Linked DNA regions of Bombyx mori. The main gene of each other region encodes a partner of the protein of the gene in region 2 in a complex. Links are inferred from orthologs where the notes say so. Each region holds a gene or a part of one and is shown on either strand. Other genes may lie near its edges.

What was found. Proteins that work in one complex are often made in the same cells at the same time.
Region 1: the proteins of (E3-independent) E2 ubiquitin-conjugating enzyme (region 2) and nucleosome assembly protein are in contact, whole or in part, in a cryo-EM structure (PDB 7UN6), measured with the Homo sapiens proteins. The link is inferred for Bombyx mori from reciprocal best matches to the Homo sapiens genes UBE2O and NAP1L1. Residues at the interface, in NP_071349.3 of Homo sapiens: Ser225, Asn226, Val282, Lys283, Pro284, Val285, Lys289, Ser290, Lys291, Phe292, Arg293; in NP_001317160.1 of Homo sapiens: Arg333, Arg337, Thr343, Gly344, Glu345, Ala346, Ile347, Asp349.

Annotation. Positions count from the first base shown.
Region 1 is NC_085120.1:5,045,780-5,049,919, reverse strand, and holds part of nucleosome assembly protein, read left to right. Parts: coding exon 1-84; intron 85-276; exon of another isoform or gene 277-359; intron 360-423; coding exon 424-554; intron 555-664; exon of another isoform or gene 665-745; intron 746-810; coding exon 811-971; intron 972-1,365; coding exon 1,366-1,554; intron 1,555-1,751; coding exon 1,752-1,874; intron 1,875-2,726; coding exon of another isoform or gene 2,727-2,786; exon of another isoform or gene 2,787-3,782; coding exon 3,783-3,899; 3' UTR 3,900-4,140. UniProt on the Homo sapiens protein: Histone chaperone that plays a role in the nuclear import of H2A-H2B and nucleosome assembly.
Region 2 is NC_085123.1:4,181,888-4,186,558, forward strand, and holds the start of (E3-independent) E2 ubiquitin-conjugating enzyme, read left to right. Parts: upstream 1-1,553; 5' UTR 1,554-1,682; coding exon 1,683-1,907; intron 1,908-3,777; coding exon 3,778-4,005; intron 4,006-4,309; coding exon 4,310-4,552; intron 4,553-4,671. UniProt on the Homo sapiens protein: E2/E3 hybrid ubiquitin-protein ligase that displays both E2 and E3 ligase activities and mediates monoubiquitination of target proteins. Negatively regulates TRAF6-mediated NF-kappa-B activation independently of its E2 activity.

The DNA of each region.
Region 1 (4,140 bases), on a different chromosome or scaffold from region 2:
CACTGAAGAAGAAGAGTTAGCTCGGGCGGTACAAAATGCTGCCATCACTGAGGGTGAGGAAAAGAAGGATGACAAGGCTATCGAGTGAGTAATTGGTTAAAAGTTTAAATTGTTTTAAAACAAAGTTGTATAATATGATAAAATCAAAAATATTTTGTTGTCTACAAATGTAACATTAAGACCAATTTCTGTTTAGAACAGTTTTGAATAACTCTGTATTTAAACGTTGTTATCCTTTTGCTGGAAAATGTTGAGAATTGTCTCTATTTTTTGAAACTTTTGCAAATGATGATATTTTAAACACCAAACACTGAAATATTGTGATTGATTTGAACATGCATCACCAACTGAAGCCAAAAAGTTGATTAATTAATTTTATACTTTTCTAAACATATTTATTTAATAATTATATGCACATTTTAGGCCTCCAATGGATCCCAATGTAAAGGGTATCCCAGACTTTTGGTACAACATATTCAGGAATGTCTCAATGCTCAGCGAAATGATGCAAGAACATGATGAACCAATTCTAAAATGCTTGCAAGATATTAAAGGTATGTTTGTTGAGTTTGTGGACATTTGCTAAATTATTAGCAATACTCGTTTATTTCAATTTACCAGGTGAACTGTCAGCTTTTTCACCTAGCTTCTCAATAAAAATCAATAAAATTACATGATGACATTTCACACCAAATTCTGAAAATTATGATTGATTTTTTAACATGCATCACCAACTGATTATCACAATTATTGACATGACAATTTAATTATCTACATTTTCTAAGAATTAATTAGCTTTTTCTAATTCAGTGCAAATGCATGAAGACCCCATAAGCTTCACTCTGGAATTCTACTTTGCTCCAAATGAATACTTCACAAATACAGTACTTACTAAAGAGTACTTAATGAAGTGCAAGCCCGATGAAGAGAGTCCATTAGAATTTGAAGGTCCTGAAATTTATTCTTGCAAGGTTTGTTTTGCTATTATTGATTTTTTTTATAGAAGAAGAACACTAAAATATATTATTATTACTAGCTGACCCGGCAGACTTCGTAGTGCCACAATCGATAAATAAAAGACCTAAACTTTTGTATAAAATAAACTTAAAACAAACAAAAGGAATCTGTCCGACGGGAACACATTAAAGAAAAAACAAAATTGTTGTTTTTGTTTAATTCCGAGCATTTTCATATTTATGTTAACTTTTAAACCTTCACTGCACTTCCACAAATAATTCAAGACCAAAATTAGCCAAATCGGACCAGCCGTTCTCGAGTTTTAGCGAGACTAACGAACAGCAATTCATTTTTATATATATATATATATATAGATATATAGATAGATTATTGTTGTTGTTTGTTTAGGGATGTGAAATAAACTGGAATGCTGGTAAAAACGTAACTGTCAAGACCATAAAGAAGAAACAGAAGCACAAGTCCCGTGGGTCAGTTCGCACTGTCACTAAGTCCGTCCAAGCTGACTCCTTCTTCAATTTCTTTAACCCACCAACTCTGCCGGAAGATCCTAACTCTACAGTCGCCTCTGATGTACAGGTACATTTAGTTTTTAATAATTTTATGGAAAATTATCAAAAAAAAAAAACTATTGCTCATTCTTCATGATGATTTTCAACACCAATAACTGAAATAAAATGATTAACGAAACATGCATCACCAACTGAAACAGTAATTTTCATTGATAATGTTGAACATAAATATTGCAGAATTATAAACTAAACTTAACGTTGTAGGCGTTGTTGACTGCGGACTTTGAGATCGGTCACTACATCCGCGAGCGCGTCGTGTCTCGTGCCGTGCTGCTCTACACCGGCGAGGGACTCGAGGATGATGACGATGACGATTATGAAGAAGAGGTATGTTCAGATTTCACATATAGCAGTTGATATCGAAAGTCATTAACTGAATTTTAAATTTTTCGCACATATCGATATTTTCTAGTGTTGTCAATATTATTGCGAAAAAAATTAATTGGAGCTGATCTATTCCTGCATATTATGGTATAGGACATATTGATATATTTTAAATAACCTTCTTTTTGATGATTTTAACACTAATTCAAAATAATAGAAACTAGATTTTGACTATAGTTTTCTTTTCATTAAGCTATTAAAAATAGCTTGCTTTTAAATGTAATCTGTTAATTATAGTAGGAGTTGTCTAGAAGAAACAAAATGTGCAGTATTTTAGTGTTATCTTTTAATCTTGTGGTAGTTGTAAGATTGCATAATTAGTGAATTCTACAGCCATCTTTTGTTTCTACAGTCGTACATGCATGGTAGCTTTATTATGCTTGCTTAGAACGTTTTCATTTATCCCTTATCCTGAACAGACGGAGGTACGGTATTCGATTGTGAAACCTGTAATTGGTAAAAATAGGCTGACTGGGTATACCTACTGGACTTTGCAAAGATTGTCTTTTATGGTTGCTATATGAAGTAAATGATTGAAACACTGCATTGCCATTTAAGTCTACATCCAAAGATGAAACTCAACCAGAATAGAAAATTTTCATAAACTTATAGTGACCATGTAAACTAAATTTCAATCTCGTAATCAAGTAATTGCTTGATAGATGTCTTGAATTGCTATGTAGTGTAATCATCTAGGGCAGGCGCATTACGGGCTGAGGGTGGGTTTATATAACGCATACGGTATCTACGTCTGGTGAAGGCAGCCCAACCAACAGCGGTCATGTTTGGTTTCAGGAGGATTCGTACTCTGACGAAGACTCCGGTACCGAGGAAGTTTCCGACGTGGAGGATTGATACGAGACCGTCCCCCCTAGCCTTCTATAAGCCTCAGAGGCATTCGTCCGACTCGATCGCTTGTATTTATTGCAACAAATAACATAGGAACCTCTAAATAAACGCACACGACATCGCTGTGCTGCTAGCTGTCGTGATCATATCTGGCTCATATCAATTGTAAACGAATTCTAAAGAATAGCGCGTCGGGCTCCTTGTAAATCCCTAGTATTTATGTTTCTCGCTACAAGTTTCTATGCATGATTTATCCTTTGATTAGATAAATATGTTTTAGAAATTGATATAAGGTCTATTCCGAAAGAGCAGACTGCGAGAAGTGATCGGTGCCTTCTTAATGTGTAATGCATGTTTAATCTTAGATTTTTGTAATGATAAACTACTGATGCATTTCTAGTTAAACAAATTCGTTTTTATTTATTATACAGTCATTATAGTGTGTATTTTTTTTTGTTCACGAGTTTTGCTTATTCGTTTATTTTTACTTTGAAATTTCATGTGATATTATTAATCTCTTAAGATGATTTGTTTCTTACTTTTAATGTGTTGTCATTCCAATAGTACTGTTGCCGAGGCAGGCTTGTCCTTGAACCGGAATATTTGTTGAATCTCTTAGTGCCAAAATGCATTTAAACAAATTCATCACTTCAGCATTGCTAACTGTGATCTATTCAATTTATATTTTATGATAACTTGACAATAGCTAGGGAGTATAGATATATTTTTTTATTTATGTAACTTTCTATTGAAGTTGGCATAATAAAGTTTATGTATGGCAGCCACTCAGGTAGTTGTACTTGGTTTTAATGGCTTCTTATGTTTTTGGCATGATGTCGTTAATAGTGACATTAAAATTGTATGCTTTTTACAAATGTGTTTTATTTCACCTCGTTTTGCATGTTAGTTTTGACGGAGACGATGCGGATGGTTGCAGAATTCACTTACACTGGTAATGCAATGTGCCGGTCGATGTTTTAACCATAACGCTGTTGTATTTAGGAGGAAGAGGAATGCTCGATGGAGGAGAGCGAAGACGATGAGCCGGCGCCTCGGAGACGAACCAAGAAACCCGGCAAGGGACCTGCCGAGAACCCCGCTGAGTGCAAACAGCAGTAGCTATTTAATTGTAATGCAGTTCGAGTTTACCGGAGCTTTATACAACAATGATTCTGGTGCTGATTTTCCTGTTTTCTCTCTTGAGAAATGAATTTCGCAGTAACTTAGTCGACTGATGGTAACAGTAATAATGTATGTACCAGAATATTTTTGCTAAAAAAAGAAATGTGATAACGATTAGCTTGGTTTGCACTTTACAACCATCAGAACTTGTGCAGCACATTCCTCATAATGGCAATGA
Region 2 (4,671 bases):
CGACGATTGCTTCAACGATCCGTCGGTCGAGACTCGCGACGAAGAGTGGCGTCGCGAGTCTGGTTGTAGTGTTGACCGCGGGAGCACCCGTATTCTGCCCAGACTCCGACCCCGGACGGAGATCGGACGTCGGATGAAAGATTGCAAAGGGAGTCGTTTAGTAGGTCTGTCAAAATATCATTGGGCCAGCGGTCAACTCCCAGCGTCTGCGGACCCTTAGGCATCGAAACTTTATGTATGAGGTTCAACCCTCTGTTGGAAAGAAAAAAAAGGGTTAAGTTTCAAACTCTTCGAAGAGTTCGATGAAATCGGGTACTAGGCCCCCTATGCCTGCTCCAAAAGCTAGCGTGTAGATACTTAATAGTTTGCTTTGAAACGTTAGTGAAACGGTTGGATAAAACAAACCTACGGAGCGCATAGGAGACATACCATGAACGCTTATGCCAACTTTAAGATATCATAAGACTGAAGAATAATTGCGTAGGTGCAACGATTCCACTACCCTGTAAACGATAGTGAATAAATCGATATTTCATATTAATATTCTAAAAATAGTACAAAAAGGGGCAAACAAAAGCTGCCATGATTAATGTAGCGACATCTGTATACCTTAAGAAGCAATACCAAATTACGTAGGTGTACCGATACGTGTAAGACGAAATATTATTAATTTATCTGATTCTACGCCTGCTGCAACTGTGACACTAACTATTATAAAGCAATACACTAGAAGTAATCCCGTAAAAACCTGAAGCGTGCTGAATACATTTAAAAGATAAGCTTGCATTTAATTACTTTGCAATTTTTTAACAACTATATCTTCTCTTTCTACTTTACCCTTAAACGTGTACGATAGTGCCTTGTGCGATAGAACCTACTCCGGTAGGTAGTCTCTTCAATTTTATAGATTTTTTAGTGATATCAATGGCAGACGAGTCTGATACATACGGTTGTAAGTAGTCGTAATGCGGACCACAAGCAAACCTCTCGTATAACGTTGTAAAATGTTCAAATAGAACACAATTTTTTTCATTTTTGATACCTATGGACTTTGGTTTACAGGTAATAGGACGTCTTGTGAGTCCGCACGAGTAGGTACCACTATCCCGCCTATTTCTGTAGAGAAGCAGTAATGCGTTTCGGTTTGAAGGGTGGGGGTAGCCGTTGTACTGAACTGTGACCTTAGAACTCATGTCTTAAAATGGGTGGTGGCATTTATTTTGTAAATGTCTACGGGCTCCGGTAACCACTTAATACCAGGTGGGCTGTGAGCTCTTCCACCCATCTAAGCTATAAAGAAATAAAACCTCTTTATTACTCACATGGTATACTCAAAACTCACAAAACTATATTTTTTGGCGACTTCATTAGAGGAGTACTTAATTCAAGACGTATGTAAGATCTTTGTTCTGCATTATTTTCTAACTAAATGAAGTCTCCACAAAACATATTAAAAAATTTACATTTATAATACAGGTTTAAAAGTAGGTGCAGATGTTAAAGTCAATTTTCAAATTATTCGGTAAAACGGAACGTATATTTTTTACTAAGAATTCCGAAAGATGGCGGTTCCGCTGCATAATTTATTGACGCATGCGCCACACATTGCAATCAGCTGTCAGAAAGAATTTATTCTTGTAAAAAACAAAATTATTAGTGTCTTCAGATAATTCCCGTCAAATATGGCGGGGCAAAATCCAGGATCACCGACCGACTTTCAATATTTTTATGAAGATGAAGTTTATAAAATCAACAACCGGGGCCAAGTGGTTTTCGGCCTAGTGCTCGAGAACTATGAAGCTAACTCCAGTGACCAAGAGAGCGACATTGAAACACCTATACAAAAAGGAGAAATTCGTGTTGTATGGCATCCTTCCGGCACAGAACGCGTTATATCTGAGAAATCGGTAAGCAAGAATACAAACCAAATGACACGATCACAGGAGACACCGGTTTTAATTAATCATATTTCCATAAAACGATTTTAAATCAATGTGATTGTACGATCTGGGTAGGATGAGTGCAAAGACCTTTTTATCTCGTGTCATAGATTTAGTTTTAAGATGACTTATGACACATCTGAAATAATTGCGAGGGTAAAAAAATAATACCGTTTGCTACGTCGCTAAAAAATTTAGCGTAAACGATTCACAAGGTATTTAGAATGTCGAAAAATAGCAGAAAACCTTAACCAGTCAACTAACGGGAAAATTATCAAATAAAACGAATGTTCTTTATCTTATTATTCTAAACTAGAAAACAAAATCCTGAACATTAAATAAGTATACAATAACATAATAGTAATTTTAATATTTAATAAAAGAAACAACATTTTTTTGTGGCTACAATAGATTTTGTTTCATCGAATTCCAAATAGAATATCTGCCGCGTTTCTAATGATATTTATCTCTAATATAAAATACACTTGAAAAATAATATAGATAAAAAACCAACTGAAGAAACGTTCTTCATTAAATACCAGTAATTAATTCTGTAACCTGGTGCTAAAGGGGCTGAAGTATGTTGTTTTGTGAAAGAAGATTATAGTGCCAGTTTATTGAAACAATAACATAAAATTTAGTGCTTTTGTGTTTAGTTTCTCAGTAAAATTTCAAAATTTACTATGTGAATTTAGAGGGTTTTAATACAGTTTATTTAATTTTATTGATGGCTCACACTTCTAATGCTTAATAATAATAATAATAATGGCAGTGTTTAATACACTATAATAATGATACTGATTTTAGTCCCACATCAAATCATAGGTTTAGGTTCAGATGTATATTTGCTAATGATTCAATTCATTTAGCTTTAAATGATAATGAATATCTAAATTGACATCTTTGCATTTTTCTTGACCAGACAGTTGCTTACTGAACACAGTATATCAACAGTCCTCACATGTATTTCATTGTGATAATTATTTGTGAGCATTATAATGAGGGCATGTATTAATTTGGTGTTTGTCTTCTTTGATTCTTATGGTAGACTAATAGACAATAACATGTGAAATAAGAAAACACTGTATAATTTTGTAGTAAATTATGATTCATTTACATTAAAACATGGATACAGTATAAAGATAATAAAAACCAAAAAAATTCAAACCAATATTATTTTTTTGGCATTATTGTGCTCTCCTCATTGCTATCATAAAAGGCCTTAGTTCAACATCTTTTAAACAAATAGCAAGAATAAAAATAAGTGTATTCAAGTACAAACAAGCAAAATTAATATGAAACAAATAGCAATACTTTTAGCTTATTAAGAATTGTTGTAGGGCTTGAATTTACTAAGCCAACTCGCAGAGCTAATAGTTCTATTGGAAATGCAAGTTCATCTGTCAGTTGTCTTTGTAACTGTGGCTTGCATGTAAAATCATTGTTAGATATGTCCAGTTACGCCCTACTGTTCGAGCACTGTACTGAACTACTTTAACTTTTTAACACATTATAATATAGTCTTCTTTGTACTTTGATTTAGTGAATATAATCTAAAAAATGAAATTCTAAAATTGCTCTTATTAGTCTTGTGTGACTGTGAAAAGTAAAGTATTAGAAATGTTTGAAATAATATGTAATATAATGATAATAATAATATAAATATACCATAAAACTTATAATAAATAATGTAAATCAACCATAGAGAGACCACAATATTTCCCCAAGAGGTGGAATATTTTTCAAAATAATTTGACATTCAGCTAATATATTATAAAAATTTGTTATTCCTAAAAGAATAAGATTTATATATAAGCTAGTTGAATTTTGTGAACAGGTGGGTCTGGCAGACAGGTCCCTTATGCCAGGTGATGTGGTTCGTCGCCTCATCGCTGGCAAGGATACCCAGAGGGGATATTGCCGCGACATTGTAATGACGGCCGCCTTGCAGATCGTGGGCACGAAACACGTGATCCCCAGTGTAGCAAGTGAAAGACTTCAGCCTCTTGAAGAATTTTCCCCTGATTTAGCAGTTTGTCTTGATTCATGGGTTGGCACTTCTAAGGTTAGATTTTGATTTTTTAACTCTAAATATCTGTGTGATTATCTAAAGAACATTTAAATGGAGATAGACATTTTAAATTTATTAAGAGAATACAAATTGATTAAGGATGTTTCAATATAATTGTATCCCAAAAGTACTCTATAAGTGCAATGAGTGAAATTATTTCCCAACCATATCTAGTTATTTTAAATTAATTTCTCTATTTGATAATGTCCTGATAGAAACACATCCAATCGTCTAAATTACAAAATCAAAAGATGTATTGACCTCAAAAACAGATCATATTTTAAAAGTGTTTCTCCAGGCCGTCCACAGTAAACTACGTTTAGTATCCTCCGATGGATCACGTCTCGAGTATTCAGACCTAGACACGTGCCCTCTCGAGGACTACTCCATGCGACGTCGACGCTCCACGCCGTACTCTTCGTCTGAATATTATCCTGGACAAGTGGTTTACGGGCCTCTGGGTTCTTTGGATAACGCCAACTGGTTGCACATGACTAAGGAAATGAAGGCTGCTAGAAAACATAAGATGCATGATCATAAGGTTTGAAATTTTTTTATTGTGTAAGTAAATTTTTCTATATTAAAAAGTTTCATTTTTTTAAATTATAATGATATTTTTTTAAATAGTTTTTAATTTAGAGATATATTATATCATTACAT